4 linked regions of the Drosophila melanogaster genome follow. Changing the gene in region 1 together with any one later gene gives a genetic interaction. Each region holds a gene or a part of one and is shown on either strand. Other genes may lie near its edges.

Evidence for each region.
Region 2: of LIMK1 (region 1) and mbt, changing one enhances a phenotype caused by changing the other (phenotypic enhancement), as found in Drosophila melanogaster (one study listed by BioGRID).
Region 3: of LIMK1 (region 1) and RhoGAPp190, changing one suppresses a phenotype caused by changing the other (phenotypic suppression), as found in Drosophila melanogaster (2 studies listed by BioGRID).
Region 4: of LIMK1 (region 1) and dia, changing one suppresses a phenotype caused by changing the other (phenotypic suppression), as found in Drosophila melanogaster (2 studies listed by BioGRID).

Annotation. Positions count from the first base shown.
Region 1 is NC_004354.4:12,589,170-12,593,982, reverse strand, and holds the start of LIMK1 (LIM domain kinase 1), read left to right. Parts: upstream 1-1,789; 5' UTR 1,790-2,052; intron 2,053-3,498; 5' UTR 3,499-3,534; coding exon 3,535-4,142; intron 4,143-4,299; exon of another isoform or gene 4,300-4,400; coding exon of another isoform or gene 4,401-4,459; intron 4,460-4,634; exon of another isoform or gene 4,635-4,661; coding exon 4,662-4,727; intron 4,728-4,813. Other genes in the region: CG1824 (uncharacterized protein), read left to right, coding at 1-107, 371-976, 1,035-1,283. UniProt on the Drosophila melanogaster protein: Protein kinase which regulates actin filament dynamics. Phosphorylates and inactivates the actin binding/depolymerizing factor tsr/cofilin, thereby stabilizing the actin cytoskeleton.
Region 2 is NC_004354.4:16,609,033-16,615,388, forward strand, and holds mbt (mushroom bodies tiny), read left to right. Parts: upstream 1-1,652; 5' UTR 1,653-2,159; coding exon 2,160-3,330; intron 3,331-3,401; coding exon 3,402-3,673; intron 3,674-3,744; exon of another isoform or gene 3,745-4,242; intron 4,243-4,505; coding exon 4,506-4,982; 3' UTR 4,983-5,824; downstream 5,825-6,356. Other genes in the region: Nup153 (nucleoporin 153kD), read left to right, coding at 1-66. UniProt on the Drosophila melanogaster protein: Involved in neurogenesis of the adult central nervous system, and together with Cdc42, regulates photoreceptor cell morphogenesis. Phosphorylates exogenous substrates when activated by Cdc42.
Region 3 is NC_004354.4:17,649,529-17,654,464, forward strand, and holds the start of RhoGAPp190 (Rho GTPase activating protein p190), read right to left. Parts: upstream 3,035-4,936; 5' UTR 2,971-3,034; exon of another isoform or gene 2,563-2,970; intron 1,783-2,562; exon of another isoform or gene 1,658-1,782; intron 1,373-1,657; exon of another isoform or gene 1,192-1,372; intron 711-1,191; 5' UTR 701-710; coding exon 1-700. Other genes in the region: IntS2 (integrator 2), read right to left, coding at 3,363-4,227, 4,294-4,936. UniProt on the Drosophila melanogaster protein: GTPase-activating protein (GAP) for RhoA/Rho1 that plays an essential role in the stability of dorsal branches of mushroom body (MB) neurons. The MB neurons are the center for olfactory learning and memory.
Region 4 is NT_033779.5:20,758,776-20,766,322, forward strand, and holds the start of dia (diaphanous), read left to right. Parts: upstream 1-1,524; 5' UTR 1,525-1,662; coding exon 1,663-1,682; intron 1,683-1,749; coding exon 1,750-2,066; coding exon of another isoform or gene 2,067-2,122; exon of another isoform or gene 2,123-3,366; intron 3,367-4,721; coding exon 4,722-6,677; intron 6,678-6,734; coding exon 6,735-7,265; intron 7,266-7,342; coding exon 7,343-7,547. UniProt on the Drosophila melanogaster protein: Required for cytokinesis in both mitosis and meiosis. Has a role in actin cytoskeleton organization and is essential for many, if not all, actin-mediated events involving membrane invagination.

The sequences.
Region 1 (4,813 bases):
AGCCACAGGTGGAATTGCTGCGCGGCTACATCATCCCGCAGGAGCGGCTGCACGGCGAGATTCGATTCGAGAACGTCTCATTCGCATATCCCATGCAACCCGATCATGTGAGTTGTATTAAAGTATATCTTCATTTCATTCTCGAGACAATGATGGCATATTTACATTAATCGATGCTCTGTAATTTGTAAACTCGCCACTTTTTTATATAATATTGAATAACTTCTTATCGCTTCCGCAAGTAGATAACCATTTTATAATACCCACAAACATTTATGGCCAATATTTACGGCTAAGTGATAAAAAGATTAGAGTCTAGGCAATGCAAACAGTAATGAACTTCCTATGTCAATTTTTGCTTCATTCACAGCTGGTGCTCAAGGACTTTAGCCTGACGCTCCGCCCGGGCCAGACGGTGGCCCTGGTGGGAGCCAGTGGATCGGGCAAGTCGACGATAGCGTCGCTGGTGGAACGCTTCTACGAACCATCGGCGGGCAATATCAAACTGGACGGCTACAAGCTGTCGGACATATCGCCCTATTGGCTGCGGTCCAATGTCCTCGGTTTCATCGAACAGCAGCCGGTGCTGTTTGGCACATCGATATTGGAGAACATCCGATATGGTAAACCAGATGCGGGCGAGGAGGATGTGTATGCGGCAGCGCGTCTATCACAATCGCACGACTTTGTGACCGCCCTGCCCGATGGATATGCGACGCATGTGGGCGAACGGGGCACCCAGTTGAGCGGCGGTCAGCGGCAACGCATCGCCATTGCACGGGCGCTGCTCAAGAATCCGCGCATCCTCATCCTCGACGAGGCGACGAGTGCCTTGGACGCCACCAGCGAGGCGGAAGTGCAGAAGGCACTCGATACAGTGGTCCAGAATCGCACCACTCTGGTGATTGCCCATCGCTTGTCCACGATACGAAACGCTGACCTCATTGTCGTCCTTGATCAGGGACGCGTCGTGGAGGTGAGTTGTCCTAGACCATTGGTATCTTCAGAAATATTTATATTTTCCCTTGTTTTAGACCGGCAAACATGACGAACTGATGGGCAAGCGGGGCCTGTACTTTGAGCTGGTGCGTCAGCAGGAACGACGGGACATCCAGGAGCAAGTCCAGGCGGTGGAGGACGTTGTGGCCGTCAAGGAGCAGCAGGCAACTGCAACAGAAACTTCAACAGCCGCAACAATTGCAACTGCCGCAGAAACTTCCGCAGCAACAGTGACAGTGGGGAGCAGCAGCTTCGGTGGCAGGGCAAACGCAGCGCAAGGATAGTGACGATGTTAGGCAAATTGAATGATTCCCTATACACTTAATTTAATATTCTTATAATGTTTTCACTTTTTTTTTTGTTTTCAACTGACCAAAAACAAAAATGGTGAGAGACGCTAACAATAAGTATACAATAAAATAAACGCTGAAGACAGTATTGTTTTTGTTATAAACAGAAAGTATTTCATTGTCATTATCGCTAAATTCACCGGGTTCATTAAAAATAGATGGGATGCGTGAACTTAAATTAAAGTTTGAAAAACTGAATATAAAACACTTGAAATCCCAATTTCCGTTAAATAATATATTCAATGGGACCGCATTATTTCTACAACCATACTCATATACGGTCACTCGAAGATTAAAGAAAAACTATTTCAATATTCAATTCTGTTCAATATTTCTTGTTAGTGACAAGCAGCGTGTTTATAATAAAAAATTTGTTCATTAAAGAGTTTATATATTTTTTAAGTTGATTGGCAGCTAGACGATAGTTTTGAGATTCTTTAATGACAGTCCTACGGTCACACTGGCTGAATTGTATTTTATTTTGTGTAGTTTTGTTGTTGTTTTGTTTATTATGCATTTCTTTTTTATTGTTTGAGTTAGCGAGCTGTGCGTCGCGTCGGCATTTAAACAAAATCCGCGGCATTTCGGTAGTTGCGATTAATAATTGCTTGGCGGGAATTACAGTCGAATAAGAAATTGGCGAGGAAAAACCAACAAATGTGCAATGTGCGTCAAGTCAATAGCAATACAAACGAACAATTATGTAAGTGTGTGTGTGTGTTTGGTTTAGTTTAGTGTACAAGTCCAGCAAAAAACAATAAAATCTAAGTAAAAAACCAGTTGTTGTTGCTATTGGCTTTGCTAATGTCGTGTTGTTCCCGTTCCCCCACACACATTTTCTAACAGCGCGTGCATGTGTGTGTGTGTGTGTGTGTGTGCAGCACCTGTACGCGTGTGTGTGTGTGCTTCTGCCTCCGCACAGTGGACACATTCCTGAATTTTGGAGTCCAAAAATATGCAAATTGCCTGAGTGAATTAATTGACTTAATTAACAAAAATTGGACCGCAAGTTATGATAACCATAGTTGATTAAACGGAATTAGTTTCTAGCGGGACTAGTGCGACAAATACTCAAACTTACTTGATTTTTTACCATTCGTTCCATTCGTAAACCTAGCTTGTCTTGGCTATTTTATAGACTTCAGTCAGGGTGGCACACCCACTCATTTCCAATCTCTTCAAAGCAAAATCACAGCACTGTGATATGGTTGGTTAAAGTAAAAGTTCAATGGGTTAAGCAGGTGATTAAAGGCACATTAACCCCTAATGGAGCTTGGACTGCACTTAACGCACGGCTCACATGTGACCACTGTGCGCGCGTGCAAGTGTGTGCGTGTGCATTCGTCATTCATTGGTCATGTTTATGCGGTCGGAAGAGGGACGTGCACAACAACTACAGTTAGCTCAGCTGAAGTGCAATTGCGATTGCAGTTGATCCAAAGAGTCGCGTTTGTTGTTGCATCAACCGGAGTTTTCACGGTCAATGTTGAGCTATATCCATAAATACACAAACATTCATGTGTATTTGCATATACATATGTATGTCCATATGCATATATCCATGGATTATGCATGCAAATCGATGATGGAAATCAGGCGGTATAGCGAATTCCGATGGGGGGCAGCTGACTCAGGATCGAAGTCTTTATCACTGAACCCTAAACTAATGACTACCGGACTCAATTATTTTGTTTTGTTCGGTCATTTTGTTTAGTACGCAAAAATATTTACATGGCTATCGCTTTAGCAATAAAGTTCGAATTGCTGTCCCAGTATATCATAAAAAATCACGGAGAGTTTTGAATGCAATTGGTTTTGAAAAATGCCAAACCTTCCTATCATTAACACTTAAATCAGTTAGAAAAACTAATATAATACTATATTAGTTGATAATAAATGCATTTCATGTATGATATCATTGTAGATATCTTTTTTCTCAACGTTAATGATAATGGGTAAAGATAGCTTATTTATAGACCTACATTGCCTATATGATATTTGCTTAGTTTCCACTGGTTCATATCGACCTGTTGACGATAATTGGCCAAGTTCCGTGACTGCTGGTCTATATTTACTATATTTAATACCTATTCCGTCATCGACTAATACCTTTTTTTTAACCTCCCGCCCCCCTGCTCTTTACCCACAGTGCTAACGTGATCGGGCCAAGGCACAAAAACATTCCATGCATCATCAGCAGCGCCTGCGGGCAAATGGCGGACGAGGAGGCACTGGATTGGGCGCAGGATCAGGACCTGTGTCCGGAGGACACTCACCATTGTGCGCCCATTGTCGGGGTCAACTACTGCCACATCCAGAGGAGCCAATCGTGATGGCTCTCGGCCAGCAATGGCACTGCGATTGCTTTCGCTGCTCCGTTTGCGAGGGCCATCTGCATAACTGGTACTTCGAACGGGAGGGCTTACTGTACTGTCGTGAGGATTACTACGGCCGATTCGGCGATGCCTGTCAGCAGTGTATGGCCGTTATCACCGGACCCGTAATGGTCGCCGGCGAGCACAAATTCCATCCGGAGTGCTTCTGCTGCACGGCATGCGGCTCCTTCATCGGCGAGGGCGAATCGTACGCCCTTGTCGAGCGTTCGAAGCTCTATTGTGGCCAGTGCTATGGCAAACGTTCCTGCCAGCCGGCGGATGCGAAGGCGCGGATCACAACGGCCGGCAAGCCGATGCACTCCATCCGTCTGGTCGAGATACCCAAGGACGCCACGCCCGGCCTGAGGGTCGACGGAGTGGCCCTCGACGATGGTTGTCCCACGGTCCGCATTACAGAGTAAGAAATTAACTGAAATTACTATAATTTACATCAATGAACTCATTGAGATGCATGCATTTGCATTATTTATTAACTTTATTGTTACATTTGTTTCTTGTTGTTTTTTTTAAGATCTTTTTCAAAGATCAGATTGTACTCTTTTTTGAACTTCTAAGTTGCCTTTGCGTTTAATGTACATATGTTATACAAACCAAGCCGTCTTCTCACTTTTTACACACAAGTCACAACATTTTTTTTATATGAATTTAAAGAAGAATGTCTTTTTGGTTACATTTTGTACTGAAAAAAATTTTACCATGGCTCAAATCTACGAAGTACGTATTGTGAAATGATAACTATTATTTGATTGTATATAATTTATTGCTTCAATCTGACTCACTTTTGGTTGCCATTTGTTAAAGTTTGCACATTAGCTAACTAGGTCTAGTCCTAATTGCCAACTAATTTCGCTGGGCGTTCGTCCTTCGACTCTTTCTGCATTTCCCTAATACATGCTTGCCCAAAAAAAAAAAATAGCTTGTTCTGTAACTTCTTCTTGTGGCTAACCTCGATGGCGGAACAGTGCTGTGGGGCGCCTTATAGGTAACAAATGTGCCTGAGTTGAATTAAAAGCAACAACTAAGCTAGTAGTAACACTTTGCTAATTATTGATTTATTTCCTATTATCC
Region 2 (6,356 bases), 4.0 Mb from region 1:
GCGCAGAGTTCCCAGACGGCTCGCCGCAAAATCCGCGCCCCCGTACGCCGTTTGCCGCCCCGGTAGAAATGGCATCGCAGTCGGCCATCACGATAGCAAATGAGGCCGCCGTCGGATTAGGATTAAGATATTGGCAGCCATTGCCGAGAGTAACAGAATCAGCAGTAGCAGCAAAAGCATCAAGGGCCGAAAAGGAAAAGCAAGACACAGAAGACGCCGGCAACAATAGTGGGCTCAAAGGTTCGGTCCAGAGCCAATATCACCAGGAGCCAGATATTCAAGGATCATCGAGGATAAACATGCAGTCACCAAAGTCGCCATGTGTGAACAAATACCGCTTCGTACGCCGCCACAGCCTGAACTCTGAAACCAGGAAACCCTTTAGCAGGAATATTTGGCAGAATACAACAGGAGAAGGCAATGAAACCAATGGCGACGATGTCCCTAAAACACCAACAACTGGCGACCAGGAGGACAACCAACAGGAGGAACGAGATTCAGCGGTATATACATCAACAGAACGAACTGTACTAGTAAGGACCCAATTCAAGATAGTGCGGCAAAGGAGCGTCATCTCGAAACCGAGACAGAAGCCTCCGACTTACTCTTAAAAAGCTAAGGAATAGGTTCGTTCCACATCCTTCTCTGCTCTCCGATGATTGGGAGATGACCACGCGAATGTCGCTCATACTACGCATATTGATGATTACAAATTATAAAAACACTTCGTTGGATTTACGCGAGAATTCATCGCACCAAAAAAAAAACGAAAATGAATATATTTTAACGTTATTTTTGTTGAATATATAATATACCTTAACGATAATTATGTAATAATTATTTTGCGAAATAGTAAAGAAACGTGTAATGCTGCAATCAAACAGAGATGCGAGGCCATGTAATAGCGCAAAAAATCAACTACTGTATAATGTAGTAATACGTATATTCGAGTTATTGGCCGATACGTCGAGCATATGATGATTGCAGTCAGATAAGAGCGATCGGCAAACGATTGCATTAAGTCTTTAGTTTTTGTTATTAATTTTAGCGTTTAGATTCACACACACACAATTCACACGAGGAAAATACCTGCAACGACGTTCTGTGCAGCAGCCAAGGTGGAAAGCCAACAAATTAAAGAAAAACAACTATCTAGCAACGTAAAGAAACCAACCAACCCTATAGCTAACAAGATAACAGATTAGATGAAAAGATTAGAGAGAATGGTGGCAAACTGGAAAACCGAAAGAGTTATAATTGTATGCATGTTTTTTATATACATAAATTCATAAAGAACATTTAATATTTTATTTTAAGTTTATATTGATCATTTTTAAGTCGAGAACAGAAATGGAAATCAGAAGTCTATGTTGAGAGAGAAACGGTATCATAATGTAAATAAGTAAATATATGCGGTATGATAATTTAAACATTGTGCTCTTTACTTGGGTTTTCAACTGGAATTGCAATGAAATTCTATAACGAATATTTGGTGTCTTAAAGTACATATCTTACTTTGAATGGTAATTGTTTTCAGCGCGAATACTTTACAAACATTTGAATTTCGAAAAGCCAGTTGACCACAGGCGAACTCACCATGCCACGGCAACGGTCACACTGCCGCCATTGCGATAGACATCGATAGCCGTTCCAGCACTAATACTCACGATAAACACCACCTCTATTTCTGGCATCGGCAATTATTTCCCTAGGTTTATTATTTTTTTGTTAAGCGAATTGCTTGTGCGCTCGTGCTGTCGCCATAATGTGTGCAATGTGTGCCAGCCAGAGGAGCAAGTGGTGAAGGTGTATCGCTTGTGCGCATCTCGATTTGTCCATCCATATCCAATTGAATCCCAGTTTCCCAGTCGCGTCCGCTGCTATGCGTGTGTGTGTGCGTGCGTGCCCGTGTCCCTGCATGTGTGTGTGTGAGTGAGATCGGGAAGAAGTTGTGTGCTGTTGTTGTTGTTGTTTCTGTCGGATTTGCCGTTGCCATCGTTTGTTGTTTGTGCATTTTCCATTGTCGGGCGACGCAACAAAAAGAAAAAAATTACACATTAAAAATAGAGAGCAAGAGCGAGAGGGAAGGAGTGGTGTGGAGTGGAAAAGGGCGGTAAAAGGGCAGAAATTTGGAGCACGGGAAATCCGAGTCGCTGAAGATGTTCTCGAAGAAGAAAAAGAAACCGCTGATCTCGATGCCCAGCAATTTTGAGCATCGTGTGCACACGGGCTTCGACAAGCGGGAGAACAAATATGTTGGCCTGCCCCTCCAATGGGCGTCCATTGTGGGCAACAATCAGATACTCAAGTCCTCCAACCGCCCGCTGCCACTGGTCGATCCCTCGGAGATTACGCCCACCGAGATTCTCGATCTGAAGACTATTGTGCGTCCGCATCACAACAACAACAAGGCGGACACCACCTCGCTCAACAGCAGCAGCACAATGATGATGGGCTCAATGGCGCCGATGAATCCCATGGCACCTGGCGCACACCCAATGATGAGCCATGGCCCCGGAATGATGATGCCACCCGAGACGGGCGGCATAGTCCTGCCGAAGACCTCTCACGTGGCCAGATCCAATTCGCTGCGGAGTTCCAGTCCGCCGCGAGTGCGACGGGTAGCCAATGTGCCGCCATCGGTGCCGGAGGAGGAGGGACCACCGGCAGCTGGAACACCGGGAGTAGGTGGAGCTAGTAGCGGTGGCTTTAAGCCACCCGGTGCCCATCCCTCCCTGCTCTATAACAGTCAGCATGCGCACGCGAATGGAGCAACAGGACCACTGGCCGTGCGCACGGATCAAACCAACCTGCAGCAGTATCGCAGCAATCTGGCCCCGCCATCCGGCGGCTCCATGCCCCAGCAACAGCAGACTTCGCCCGTGGGTTCGGTGGCCAGTGGCACGCGATCCAATCACTCGCACACGAACAATGGCAACAGCGGCGGCAGCTATCCTCCCATGTATCCCACAAGCCATCAGCAGCAGCAGCAGCAGCAACAGCAGGCCAAACAGGGTGGCGATCAGAACCAAAATCCTCTGCATCCGCATGCTCATCCGCATCCGCACCATCACCAACATTTGGCCAAGTCGGCGTCCAGGGCATCCAGTTCCAGCGGGGGAGCGAGCAGTGCTGCCCAGCAGGCGAGCGGCGCCAGTGGAGGAGCGGCGGGTCAGCCAAAGCAGGACCAACGACTCACCCACGAACAGTTCCGTGCCGCCCTTCAGATGGTGGTCTCCGCCGGTGATCCACGCGAGAACCTCGACCACTTTAACAAAATAGGCGAGGGCTCCACGGGCACCGTATGCATTGCCACGGACAAATCCACAGGCAAGAACATCCGCTTTAACTATTGTCAAAACCATTGAATTAATGGCATTTGGTTTTCTCATTACGTACAGGTCGCCAGGTGGCCGTGAAGAAGATGGATCTGCGCAAACAGCAGCGACGGGAGCTGCTATTCAACGAGGTCGTCATCATGCGGGACTACCATCATCCCAATATCGTGGAGACATACTCCAGCTTTCTGGTCAACGATGAGCTTTGGGTGGTGATGGAGTACCTCGAGGGCGGCGCCCTCACCGATATTGTCACCCATTCGCGCATGGACGAGGAGCAGATAGCCACCGTCTGCAAGCAATGCTTGAAGGCTTTGGCCTATTTGCACTCACAGGTGCGTGACCAGCATGACACTGCCCCTTTCCTGTCCCCGTTCCCATTACCATTCCCTTGGCCAAACTGGGCAGCAGAGAACGGAGTACTCGCCATCATGCGATTCTTTGTGCCTTTGTACCTTGCCATTTGCGGCGCTTTCTTCGCCCTCCGCTTTCGCGTGGCTTTGGTTTCAATTTCTAAATGTTGTCACCAACAAAAGTCGTCGGCCGCACAGTGGGCCATCGAGTGGCGTAGCACGCCCAAAGTGCCAGGTGAAATCGCACGTGCATGCCCTACCTCAAAGCGAAAAGTGTGCATAGAGCGATTTTCGAATGGATAGTTAATTGCATCTTATGATGAAGGAAGTTTAAAGTTATAGTTCATTACTCATTGATAGATAAGCCAATTTGCTATGATTTTGCCTGAGATACAACTTGAGATATTAAAACTATCAATATTAGAATAGCATATAATAATAATATTAAGTCAGTCAGTCAATTGGAACTTGTTTAAGCCCCAACATTTCACAATACTAAGCATTCCTAATGTTTTAGATGTAGTCTATTTAAATGAAATTAGAACTAGAACCCAACCTGTTTATGCTATCTTCCACGTTAGGGAAACCAGCGTGTTCCCAAGAGCAGGAAATTCTTTTTGGGCGTTGCAGGGTCGATCTGGTTTCTTTTGTGCATTTCTGTCCCACGTTGGCTCGTGTAATGCGATAAGTGTCTGTCTGCGGGAGAAAGGGCGTTGGTTGGGGGAAAACCGCAAACTGTGAACGCTTTTAACCAATTTCCCTTCTCTCTCTGTCTCTTTCGACGGTGCTGCCGATGGCGATAAACCATAAACAGGGCGTCATTCATCGCGACATCAAGTCGGACTCGATTCTGCTGGCCGCCGATGGTCGCGTGAAGCTATCGGACTTTGGATTCTGCGCCCAGGTGTCACAGGAGCTGCCGAAGCGCAAGAGTCTGGTTGGCACGCCGTATTGGATGTCGCCGGAGGTCATATCGCGCCTGCCGTACGGCCCGGAAGTGGATATCTGGTCGCTGGGCATCATGGTCATCGAGATGGTGGACGGCGAGCCGCCGTTCTTCAACGAACCGCCGCTGCAGGCGATGCGTCGCATCCGTGACATGCAGCCGCCGAACCTGAAGAACGCGCACAAGGTCTCGCCGCGCCTGCAGTCCTTCCTCGACCGGATGCTGGTGCGGGATCCGGCGCAGCGTGCCACCGCCGCCGAGCTGCTGGCCCATCCCTTCCTGCGCCAGGCAGGACCGCCGTCGCTGCTGGTTCCGCTGATGCGCAATGCGCGACACCATCCGTAGTTGGATGCCACTGGACAACCCAGACGATCCGGCTGCTCGATGAAAGCAATCATTCCCACAGACAACGGATCCCGGCCCGTGGGCATCCATCTATTAAATTCTAGTATTAACATTCAGTTTGGCAGCTGTACTTAAATCCCCGGAGAATCCTCGAAACGTTGTAAAGTCATTTAAGCTCCGCACATCCATATCCATATCCATGCCCACTAACGTTCCAGAAGAGAACGCAATGTGCCTTTCACAAGCCTCGAAATCGAAATTGAAATCGCATCCTGCAACCGATACGGATGGAGAAACGATATAGCATTTATCTGCCCGAGAACCACATTTTTATATATATATATATATATACATATATGAGTATTTCAGCATTTTGCTCTCTGTCTCTTGTCAATATTGATTTGTGTGCGTGTGTGTTTGATTTTTTTTAACCAGCCCATAAAACATTGTTCGAATATATACATATATACGCTAAGAGCTAATGTTAAAAATCTATATATATATATATATACACATATATTTTTTATAAAAACAAATCCTAATTCTAAGCAAAAGCGAAACAACGAAGGTGTGAATCGAAGGGAGACAGAAAACGAAAGAGAAAGAGATAGCGTTAGGCGGAAGAGCATATACAATTTCGACATAAATATTTTTTAAACATTTTACATTTTACATTGGTGTGAAAAGTTTGTACGCTCCAGACATACACATATGCATATATCTAAACACATTCCCGATTTCGAAAATATTTTAGAACTTTTAGCTTACATTCTTTGTTCTGTTTTTTTGATTTAACCCGTGTAATTATTAATTAATGAATAAACTTAAATGCGAAAATGTTCAATTTTGTGGTTTCATTCATAGTTAAAAACTACCAAAAATAACTAGAAATCCAAAAAAAAATTTCTGAATAGAAATATTGAATATTTTAATATTTTATTCGACATTTTGGAGTTTCATTTTAAAGATATTTCTGTTTTTTTTATTACAAACTAATTGAAAAATGCATGTTTCGATTTTGTTGTTTTTATTACTGGTTGATTGATTGTTTGATTGATTGATTGATTGTTTGATGGTTGTGAAGAATACATAATTGTGCCCGCTTAAATACTCGCACATATATTCGCAAAATATATATGCGTATTTATCGCGTACATGAAGGATGGGGTACTGGCTCTGGATAAGTGGGCGTGGTCGTTGTGGCGTTGGTGGGTGGGTGTGTGTGAGTTGAGTGAGTGTTGTGTGTGCGCGTGTGTTTTTGTTTACAACATAAGATTACAAATATATTACATACACGAAAAATCAATTGCGAACTAAAAACTAAAGGGCAGATCGGGCTGCCACATAGCTAGCCATATGATTCGATGGGTAGAG
Region 3 (4,936 bases), 5.1 Mb from region 1:
GGAATGCCAAATCGATGTTGATGCTCTCGTGGGCCGACGTCTCGATTAGCTGCACAGTGCTCTTGTAGTCCTTTCGCTGGCTAATTTTCTCCGCCTCTCGAACATACAACTCATAAGCGTCGTCGTTCTTTGTGGTCACCAGCACCAGTGGCTTCTTGTTCTTTAGTATGGTTGCGATGACATTCTGCACGAACTCCACCTGCTTCTCCACACTGCGATTGGGCACTGGACTAACGTCGAAGACGACAACAAAGCCATCGATACTGAGCCGGCCATCGGGCATGACTTTCTGTTCGTACTCCTTCTCGATGCCCAACTGATTCTTGCATATGTACATTAGCTTCTCCGCGGAGAAGACCTTGGTGGCCGTGCACCGCTTTGAGTATGGATCCATCTTTCCCACCTTAAAGGCTTGGAACGTGGAGTCGTCCATGAACTCCGTCTGCTCGATGATATTAAACTGGTACTCGACGCCCTCCTCCGTCGTCTTGCGCACATCGCCCCAGTAAAGGAAGTGGTCGTTGTTCACGATCCGGCCACTAAAGTCGCTTTGGCTAAGCACTGATATGTGATCGATGAAGTAGTCGTCGGCCATCGGGCGCATGAATCTGTTGCACAGGCATGACTTGCCCACTCCCACCTGCCCGCGGTCCTTTTCGGTCCCGGATAGTCCAATGACCGAGATGTTAAACTGACGCATCTTGACGTTCCTGCAAGGATTCAAAAGTCGAAGGAGAGAATTAGATACCTGGCTTATAGACTCGCAGATAAATGCTAAAAGTGTTATGGAATAGGTAATTCCGGATTTGGTATTCTGCAGGTGTTTTCGTTCAAATGTATGATTGTGCCTTATCATATCGATAAGGTGTTATCTACTGGCGCTTTTCCTCACATGCCTATCAACATGACACAATGTTGTAACATTGTATCCATCGCAAATTGATTCATTCAATCGGTTGTTAAGGTAATATTTTAAAATATCACAGGAGATAACCTGTTAACGTTGTATGAAAAGGATAATATGCATATGGATAATATGCTTTTCAGGATTTCACATAAAGATATATTCCTTATTATAGGGATATACGAAAGAAAAATAGCGTAGAATAGACCTTGGCTCGGCTCGATATATACAAATGTGTTTTCGTGAAAACGTCAGCTTATGGATATCTTTGGATATTCAGGGATAACCTCTCAGTTTCTCCGGACACACACGGAATGGAAAACCGTCGATTTCTGGTCACTTTTTCACGGCAAATGGCTGGCTTGCGATGCCAGCCGATGACTATTATCCAAGATAACCTTCGAGTTGGAGAATCGCCCCGTGTCCTCCGCGCCGTCTGCTCCAATTGGCCGCAGGACCTTCACATTTCCGCACACTTTTCGCCAGTCTAGGACTTTGTCATGAGTTCCTTTTGGCTACAACTACGCAGTTACGGATACATCCACGGATTGGGGGTCCAAAAACACGAGAGAGCGAGAGCGAGAGATTGGCTGCTGCGATGTGACAAAAAAAAAAAAAGAAACGGAGAAGAAAAACGCGCAAGCGATTTTCTTATGCCGGCGCTGCCCGAAAATTCATTCCATGTGATTTTTGGCCAGCGAATAATATACGCGAATCGCGATTTCACAAAAAATGCACAGGGCTCTTTTTTACCTGCTTTCTTTTGGGTTGCTAGTTTGATCTTTGTATTTATTTATATGGCTAGTTTTTATACAACATTTTCGGCAAGTAGGGAAAGTCAGTCTGCAACAAATCCTTTTTCCGTCCTGACTGCGGCGGTTGTTCTGTCGCAGCGCTTCTTTTGGTGCTGCAAACGACACGGCGCAACTCTCTAAAGAGAGAGAATCAGAGTCAGAGTGAGCGAGCACGAGCGACTGAGAGTGGAAAGTAGAGAGAGCGCGTGGGTGGATTCGGATGTGAATGTGTTTGTTGTTGCTGTTGCTAGTGCACTCCAATTTGTTGCTGTTATCCTCGAGTGGGAGTGCAACAATGTGGGTGTGTGTGGTTGTGCGTTTCAATGAGAGTGGAAATAATAAATTCCCCACTGGCCTTTAATTGAGTTTTTCCGGCGTACAAACCACCGCAAACACACACACACACATGCTGGGCAAGTGCAGCGCAGAAGCGAAATTGGATCTGCAACAGATTTCCTGTACATTCTCCGCGCTGCACAACAACAACTAACAACTAACAACAACAACAGCCACAGCGCAAGAAACGGAGAGCAACGATCCAGTGATAACAACAACGACAAAGGCAAAAAGAAAGGAGGAAGGGGAGGAGAAGAGAGAGTACTGCAAGTGCATGTGCAACGGTACAATTACAAAAACACAAACGGGCGCGGCGGGAGCGGCAGAGCGCAAAGACGAGAGACAAAACACCATACAATTTTTGGAAACGAATTTTAAGATTTGTTGCAGAAAAGAAAAACACTGTTGCCGCATCCGCCTAGCCATCCCGCTCTGGCGCACACACTCCCAGCAGCGGGGCATCTCGCTCTCTCTGCGTGCTCGCTGGCTGCGTGTGTGTGCGTGGGTTCTGTGTGTGTGAACAATTACCTGCAGCTGCGCACAAAGAATTCAAGTTTAATCCGCCTCGGCGACACTTTTTCTTGAAGCCCGTGCTTCTTGGCTTTTCCAGCCAGTCACTTGACAAAATACTAAGCAATTGTATTTGTTGTATTTGCTTTAATAATTATTTTCCCACCATGGAACTCTCACTCACTCACACACACGCACACAGCAGGCGCACACACTCAAGACAAGGGAGAGCGGGAGAGGGAGAGCGAGAGGAGAGAGGAGCAGCGCGTACACAACGTATACAAAGGACAATTACGAATCAGCATCGTAAACGCACACTGAAAAAGCAGGTCAGATACGTCCTGACTCGATTCAGGAATCAAAACACAAAACTCAATGCCGAATGCCAGTCGATTCGCATATTACGCACGCACGAACGCTACTCACAATTATTGTAATTCACATCCGAGCTTTAATTTAACAACAACAAAAACTAGAGCTGGAACTAATGTCGATGCTTGTTAGTTTTTATCGATAACCCGATACGCGTATGGGTGGCATGGCCGGGAACGATAGATATATCTGGTATGTGTACTCGCTAACCAAAGTATATTATCGATAAAAGTAGATTCCGATAACAGCTGCGTAGTTATATATTTATTTGAGGCGCCAAATTTAAACTCAATTAATTAATTAGTTATATAGAAATGGTTTTTGCAATAAGTATTTATTCTGGTCAATGTTGTTATAAATTTTACAAGCACTATTATAATCAGCCGGGGGGCGGAGTGGGGAAAGGTTGCTTACGACTATGAAAAACAAGGCGGGATCGAGTCCAACTAATACAGGTCCGATTTTTTCATGACCGCCGTGACCAGTGCCTTAAACGCGTCCTCGATCATGATGATGTGCAGCTGGGCATCCCGATACGTGCAGAGCTTGTCGCTATCGGTGAGTGGCATTTCCATTGTGGTCATGCCCAGCGATGACTGCGAATGCAGAATGCGCCCGGTGGTCATCAGGATGTTGACGCAGTCGTCGGCCAGAATGGGAAACGTTTCCACGAAACGAACCATCGCTGGCATCACATTGCGCAGGAATCTACACTTGGTCGATGCGGTCAGCATGGACAACGTCGTCTGGATTACATTCAGGCAGAATTTCGAGACGCCCAGACTCTTGGGTATCGAATAGTTGAGCACCAGATGGGAGGTCAGATCGATGGTAAAGATCTGTTTTTCCATTTCCGTCACGTTGAGGAATTCGTGAACAAAATCAATGCATATGTGCATCGATGGCACACTGGCCACCATCATGGGAATAACCGACTTTGGATACGTTTGGAAGTGCACTAGTTTCGCCAGCGAAGGCTCCGAAATGAATGCCTGATGCACATAGGTGCCAATGATGCCCTGTATCTCACGCAGCTCCAGATGCGACACCCGATCCGTTGCCTTGCTGGCTATGTAGTCCAGCACCTCCAGCAGAATGTGCACGGCGGCGCTCTCCTGCGAGGCAATCAGCGTGGTCCTTAGGTCCTCCCAAATCGCATCCGTCTGCATCATGCCATTCTTGTCCAGCACCTGCTTCTGCTGCATCTGCATGTGCACGTTGAGATAGGTCTTCGAGGCGGCTAGGCTGCCCTTCAGAATGCGCAGCAGGATCATCAGCAAATAGGGCGAACAGAATACGAAGCGTGGACAACTGTTGATCAAAAGGAATGCGAAAGAATTTTAGGAAACAACACACGAAAATGACGAGGCAACCCACCTTAGCACCTCCATGGGCTCCAGAAGACTCTCGTTGGCAAAGGTACGTCGATCCATCGTATCCGAGCCGTTGGTAATCGCTCGCAGCGACATGATCCACAGGGTGGTGGGCAGCACGGCATTCAGGCGCAGCCAAATATCGTTGTACAGATCCTTGACGTATCGCGGCACCGACTTGGCAAACACCATCGGCAGATGCTTCACCAGCTGTTGTCCATACTGCGCCTGCGTTTCTGGGGGCATCTGGAGTAGCTGCTTAAACACGCGGATGGCTAGATGCGGTTTCGTTTGGATGGCGGCCAGTGCACGATCCAGGGTCTCCGGCTTGAGCTCATGCTTGCTTACCACCACCGTGGAATTGCCCTGGGCCAGATTGTGCTCCTCCAGCCAGTCATCGACCATGCTGAGATGCGGATAGTTGGAGATAATCAAACGCAGCAGCGGATGGAAGAGCGAGAGATAGTCGTTGTGGTAGTGGTGCGCCTTCTGGAGCAGATACTTCAGTGGCAGTCCGCCCAGGAAGTTGTTGGAGTACTCCTTCTGCTTGCGACCACCCAAAGCGCTGAGGTTCATCAGTCGCGTATCCTCGTACAACATGAGGTAGTAGATCATCAGCAGCTGGGCGGTTAGTGGACACGTCACCT
Region 4 (7,547 bases), on another chromosome or scaffold:
GGGAGCGAGAAAGACATATGTAGATCGTTCTGTGGAAGGAGTGTTGGTCGCGGAGGGTTGTGTTGTGATGTTGTGGAGGGGAGGGAAAGAGATGCAGTGCATGTAAACAAAATAGAGAAAGAGGCAATTGCAGTAAATTCTTTGGCAAAAGAAATCTTGTTGAAAGCATTTCCTCCGCAGATGCTTATGTGTACTGGCGACCTGAAAAGAAATTGTTGCCCTGCTTGAACTTGTCGCTCCACTCTCCACTACCCACCTCCTCGCCCCCTCCCTCGCACACTCCTCTGCCCACACACACACACACACACAACACTCCATTCACAATTGGCCTTTTGCGGAGTCATATATTAAATTTGATTTCTCTAGCCGAGCACTGTGAATGATTTGCCGCCAGTTGGCACGCCCGTTCGCCACACTGCAGAAAATACCAGGGCACATATATATCTATATCTATATATCTATTAAATTTATCCTTGCATGCCAAATATTGAAACGCAGCACTTTATAGCTCTCTTAGCTTAAAATGTAAATTTTACTCAATTTAAGAGCACTAATAACGAACGTTTATTTCATTTCCTAATCAAATCTTACAGTTTAAGTACTTTGTTTTCCGTGTAGCGAGCCAGAACCATCCGCAAAACCTGTTGCTCGTTTGCCTTTTTATTGGATTTTCTGTTTTCTACCTCTGCTGCTCAGCTGCTGCGATTCCGATTTCATTAGTGATTCATTAGATGCGTTGGACAAGCTAACGCAAAAAGCCAAAGCTTGTTCCCAACGCATCCTTCAATACAAGGCAATTCAAATGTTCAAACGCTAACGGCCAGCCTCTCAGCCTGGTCAAATGAATCACTCCATATTCTCCACATATTCTAACCAATTTCTCTCGTGTTTTGTTTGGCTCTCAGTTTTGCGCTGTGAATAACGTGCTATTTCCTATTTTGGCTGGCCGCGATTATCGCATCGTTTTGTAAATTTAGTGCGCATTATTAATGAATTTGTCCAATTTGCTGCGGTATACTTTTATCGTTTTTGTTTATAATTATAATCAGTCGTTTTCACGCGGTGAGAGTTTTGGATAGCACAGTGGTCGGATTCTAATTTGGAAAATGGTTAAGCTTGAGAGTGTTTTAATCTGTAATATAAACTTATTGTACAAACCTAATTATAAATTGATCATTTTTGAGCTTACCAGTAATATTCACACAGTATTAAAATTATAATTCCTATTAGATTTCCACCCTTAAAAAATTTTAAATGAAAGCCAACTCTCATGTGTTAATGTTCTTAAGCATGTAAAAGGAAAACAGCACCCTTTCCAAGTCGAAGAACCACTGTAATGGGCCTCGTTCCCTCAAAATACGTACATATGTACGTGTTAATTGAAAATTCCACACTCCGTTGAGGCTGAATCGACATTACGGCACCCCAGATAATTGTAAATAAACCCAAGCTGATAATGATCGACCACCTCCCAGCCATCCGTCCATCGATTGGATGCATTCGCTGGGAAGCCATCAGAAACCGCGGTCTGTGCGCTGCTCTCGAACACTTGTAAACAAGGAACAGCTGTGCAAGTTGTCTCCCCCAAAATATTGAAGACTGCGCAGGCCCCAAAAATCGTTGTTTGGTCTTTGTTTAGTTTTCGCCTAGCTATCCAACGAAATGCGCCTCAAAAAGCTGGGGTTAGACTTGAAATCTTTTGCATAGTTTATGAAATCGAACCCAATATTTCTGTTCTGTTCTTTGCAGAATGTCTCGTCACGAGAAAACGAAATCCACGGGCGGCGGGCTCCTGGACAGTCTGTTCGGAAGACCCTCGAAGTCCAAGGGAGGAACCATCAGCAGTGGCACCCTGGCCCATGGCGGACGACCCGTGTCCGCGGACAACTATGTGGTGCCGGGCGTGGAGGACTTTGAGCAGTACATCCAGCAGCTAAGCGTTGCGGAGCTGGATGCGAAGTTTCTGGAGATCATCGAGGACATGAACATTCCGAAGGACAAGAGGGAGCCCCTGTTGGCCAAATCGAAGGAGGAGCGACAGAAGATGATTATGTGGCACTTGAAAGGTAAAGAACATGGTGCAAGTACACGTTTTCAAACAGAAAACCGCATTTGTGTTTGAAGATTGAGTATCGTTTGGCTAAGAACTATAGTTCTGGAATAGAAAGTCTAAGAATAATCTACATACATATACGAATAATCTAAACTCGTCTGAACCGTAATGTTCCAAGCAACTTTGAAAGGCCAACCGGATTGGCAAAACTTTAACACCCTTTCCCTTTGCAAGGGTATACAAACAGCAGACCATCGATTTTCGTGCAACTGGGTGACTCTGCCTTCTACTTTTTTTTTTTGCTTTTGTTGTGCTGCGGAATATTGCATTCCACTTGTGATAAGATAAGCAGGTAACGGAACTCGTGTCCGTGTGCTTTCCCCGTTTCGCTGTGTGCGTGACACTGCAAATTTCGCTTTCTGATTGCTTAGCGCCTTCTTAGCTGCCAATTTGCTCTGTGGCCAGGTTCTGTTCTATATTTCTGGCCAATTCCTAAACCGATTGAAGTGATGTCAACGATCCTTTGGATAAGTAAGCTCATAACATACATAAGTCTCTAAATGGTTTCCACTTCAATTAGTCAAGAGGTGATTACTTTGTTTGTTAACTACATATACTTGCTTAACTCTACTTCAATTTTGAGAATACTTTATTTCTAGAATTATTATAACGATATTATGTGCATCGCAGCGCGGTAATGATTCAGCTGGAATCTTCCCTTGTGTTTGCTTCATTCATATCCAGCGAGATTAGTACGGTGTACTCTACTGTACTACAGTGATACTACCAATTATCACTGTAGCACATCGCCAGCTGTATCTTGAGCACATTTCAATGCCAGCTCAGCTTTCAGCTTCAGCTTCGTTCTTTGGGTCTCGCTCCAGTTAGTTCACCATGGCCATGGTCCATTATCAGTCTTGCGGAGTGTGGAATCAAAGTTCCCTTATCGTTTGTAACGCCTAATTGCGCCACAGCCGCGGACTATCTGCTTGCCCATTTTATCAAGTAATACCAAGTGCTATATTATACATAGTATGTATGTAAGTGGTACGCGGCGAATGCGTGACAAAGTCGAGCGGCAAAAAATGAAAATGCAAAGACATTGAATTTCCACCACCGTGCACATTATACAATTTAAATTACGTCAAGTGGCAGTGAGAAAATGAAATGATTCTTTTATTTCGCGCTTAGGTCTTTTTGTTGTATAAGCAAGTGCATCGTGAAGGCGAGAGAGAGATGTACTATGTACACTGAAAGTATTTTTACTAAACATCATATATAAATATAGCTAATGATTATAACCTACTATTTATAAATCTCAATGGCCTTGTTATTGAATATAAATTTAATATTTCAAATTTTAATTCAAATTTCCTGTACCGACGAGGCTTAGTTCTCAGTGTAGCAGAGGCAGAGGGTGATTTTCCTTACACTTTGGAACGGCCATAAAATGCAAATATGCGAAAACATTAAACACATTATGACAAAATCGAGCTGAAAATAAATTGTGATGCCTGTCAGTAAACTTGAGCTGCGGCACAATCGTATCTCATAGGTGCAGATAGCTGCGAGTGAGAGGTAAAAGCGACTGAAGTAAGTATTTGTGGGTCGTGTTTATTGTGGCAGAACCCACTTGTTGCGAAATTAAATTTAAAACACAAACAATGGACTGGCCGACAACAAAAAAGGCTCGCACAAAAAGCTGTTCATTAACACGCTTCGCTTGCCGTTTTGAGTTAATTAATAAAACAGTTAGCGTAGTTTTGCTTTGACGGATAAACGTATAAGTGGTGGGCAGGTTTTGGCCAATTTGAGTGATGTCAGTGGTGCAGGTCAATCAGAAAAAGGGGTGGGTGGTCGCACCGAAGGCCTCCCTTCCAAAGGTGGGACATGATGATAGCCTTTTAACTACCCCTATCTCTCACAGTTTTAGGGCAAAGTTATCACATAAAGCTGTGCAGCAACTATTTAGAACCTCCAAAGTGTAATCATTGAGCCACCTATATAGAATATGTATCATCCTTTATCATGAAATTTACAAACTTCAAGTTGGAAAATCTGGAGTGATGGCAAATAAACTTAAAAACACATTTGCGTATTATAATGTGTTGATATGTGTATAATGTTACACCTTTGTTTAACATAACTTGTTAACGATTATATTCCAGATTAGAGCTTAAGTGGTAATTTCTCGTTAATTAAATGGTTTTCTTATCAAATTGCCATTGTACGTTTGTGGGAAAGTATTCCGATTTAGCAGACTAATGATAGGGTAGAGTGAATCATCGCTGATATGACTAAATTCAGGTGTGTTGTCGGTGGGAGGCAAACCTCTTTCTTTCAAAATATAAGCCTTGAGCTATTTTGGAATGAACCCGTATACTTTTTATCATCGAAACAGCACAAACGTGAGTTGAATGGCAAAATGTACTTTAATTTACTATTGTGCCAACTTTTAATTTATGTCAAAAGTGTAACAAATCAAAATGTCCAATATTAGCCATAATTATCAATTGCTTAAGTTACGAACTGATCGGATTAGATATTAATAGGTGTTTATAGAACCATATTCCTATGTCTACTATGTAAAATACCGCTGACCACTAAATAGCTTTACAGAAATTCAATACGTGCGCTCATCCGACTCCAACTCCAATTTCTCTTCCAGGTAAAAACTCACTGGAGCGTAGCGCCAACTCCCGCTTCGAGAAGCCCATAGACTATGTGGAATACCTGCAGAATGGGGAGCACAGCACGCACAAGGTGTACCAATGTGTGGAATCTCTGCGCGTGGCGCTCACCAGCAATCCGATCTCGTGGATCAAGGAGTTTGGAGTGGCGGGCATCGGGACGATTGAGAAGCTGCTGGCCCGGTCAAAGAATAATGCCAGCTACGAGAAGATCGAGTTCGAGGCGATTCGGTGCCTGAAGGCGATCATGAACAACACATGGGGTCTGAACGTGGTGCTCAATCCGGATCAGCATAGTGTGGTGCTGCTGCTGGCGCAATCCCTGGATCCCCGGAAGCCGCAGACGATGTGTGAAGCCCTCAAGCTGCTGGCCTCGTTCTGCATTGTCTATGAGCGGAATGGCTACGAGAAGGTTCTCCGAGCCATAACCACTATTGCAGCCACATCCTTTAAAGCGAGCGAGCGCTTTCGACCCATAGTGGATGCCTTGTTTGCATCGGATCAGCAGGATCCCAAACGGGACTTGGCATGCCACAGCCTGATTTTTATTAATACTCTCACCAATACCCCCACGGATTTGAACTTCCGCCTGCACTTGCGATGTGAGATTATGCGCATGGGTCTATACGATCGCCTAGATGAGTTCACCAAAATCGTGGAGGCCAGCAATAATGAGAACCTGCAGCAGCACTTCAAGATCTTCAACGAGATCCGCGAGGATGACTTCGAGGAGTTTGTGCAGCGCTTCGATAATGTCACCTTCAACATGGACGACGCCACCGATTGCTTCGATGTGCTGAAGAACCTGGTGACTGACACCACTTCCGAGCCCTACTTCCTGTCCATCCTGCAGCATTTGCTGTACATCAGGGATGACTTCTACTTCCGACCTGCCTATTATCAGCTGATTGAGGAGTGCATCTCACAAATCGTCTTCCACAAGGGTTACTGTGATCCGAATTTCGAGAACCGGAACTTTAATATAGACACCTCGCTACTGCTGGACGACATTGTGGAGAAGGCCAAGGCCAAGGAGTCGAAGCGGTCGGAGGAGTACGAGAAGAAGATCGAGCAGCTGGAGAGTGCCAAGCAAGAGGCGGAAGCGAAGGCGGCTCATCTGGAGGAGAAAGTCAAGTTGATGGAGGCTAATGGTGTGGCGGCTCCGTCGCCCAATAAGCTACCCAAGGTAAACATACCCATGCCACCGCCACCACCAGGAGGAGGAGGAGCACCTCCCCCACCGCCGCCACCTATGCCGGGACGAGCAGGTGGTGGACCTCCGCCTCCACCACCACCTCCCATGCCGGGAAGGGCAGGTGGACCGCCACCACCTCCTCCACCGCCCGGAATGGGAGGCCCACCGCCTCCACCCATGCCTGGCATGATGCGCCCAGGAGGGGGACCTCCACCACCGCCCATGATGATGGGGCCCATGGTTCCCGTTCTGCCTCATGGCTTAAAACCGAAGAAGAAGTGGGACGTCAAGAATCCCATGAAGCGGGCCAACTGGAAAGCCATTGTCCCGGCCAAAATGTCCGACAAGGCATTCTGGGTCAAGTGCCAGGAGGATAAGCTGGCCCAGGATGACTTCCTCGCAGAACTGGCCGTGAAATTCTCTTCTAAACCTGTAAAGAAAGAACAGAAGGATGCGGTGGACAAGCCAACGACGCTGACAAAGAAAAATGTCGATCTTCGTGTGCTCGACTCGAAGACTGCTCAGAACTTGGCTATTATGTTGGGAGGATCGCTGAAGCATCTGTCCTACGAACAGATCAAGATCTGCTTGCTGCGCTGCGACACCGACATCCTGTCCTCCAATATCCTGCAGCAACTTATCCAGTACCTTCCGCCGCCAGAGCACCTCAAGCGTTTGCAGGAGATCAAGGCAAAGGGCGAACCGCTACCGCCGATTGAACAGTTTGCAGCCACAATAGGTAAGGCGAATGGAGTTTGTAGTGCAGAAGGCGCAGAATAACTTTACTTAATTTCAGGGGAAATTAAACGCCTTTCGCCGCGACTTCACAACCTGAACTTCAAGCTGACCTACGCGGACATGGTGCAGGATATCAAACCCGACATTGTGGCAGGAACGGCAGCATGCGAAGAGATCCGGAATAGCAAAAAGTTCTCAAAGATCTTGGAGCTGATTCTGCTGCTTGGAAATTACATGAACTCGGGCTCCAAAAACGAGGCCGCCTTTGGCTTTGAGATCAGTTATTTAACCAAACTGTCCAATACGAAGGATGCGGATAATAAGCAGACATTGCTGCACTACCTGGCTGACCTGGTGGAAAAGAAATTCCCAGATGCACTAAACTTCTACGACGATCTGTCGCATGTTAATAAAGCGTCGCGGGTCAACATGGATGCCATCCAAAAGGCCATGCGGCAAATGAATTCGGCGGTTAAGAACCTGGAAACTGATCTCCAGAACAACAAGGTGCCGCAGTGTGATGATGACAAGTTTAGCGAGGTGATGGGCAAGTTTGCCGAGGAGTGCAGACAACAAGTGGACGTGCTGGGTAAGATTATCTCATCTGATCGGAACGAATATTACATGAGCAAAATCGAATTCTCTAACATCTCGTTTTAATTTCAGGCAAAATGCAGCTGCAAATGGAGAAGCTGTACAAGGACCTCAGCGAGTACTATGCCTTCGATCCCAGCAAATACACAATGGAGGAGTTCTTTGCGGACATCAAGACTTTCAAGGATGCCTTCCAAGCGGCCCACAACGACAATGTCCGGGTACGCGAGGAGCTGGAGAAGAAGCGTCGTCTGCAGGAGGCCCGAGAGCAGTCTGC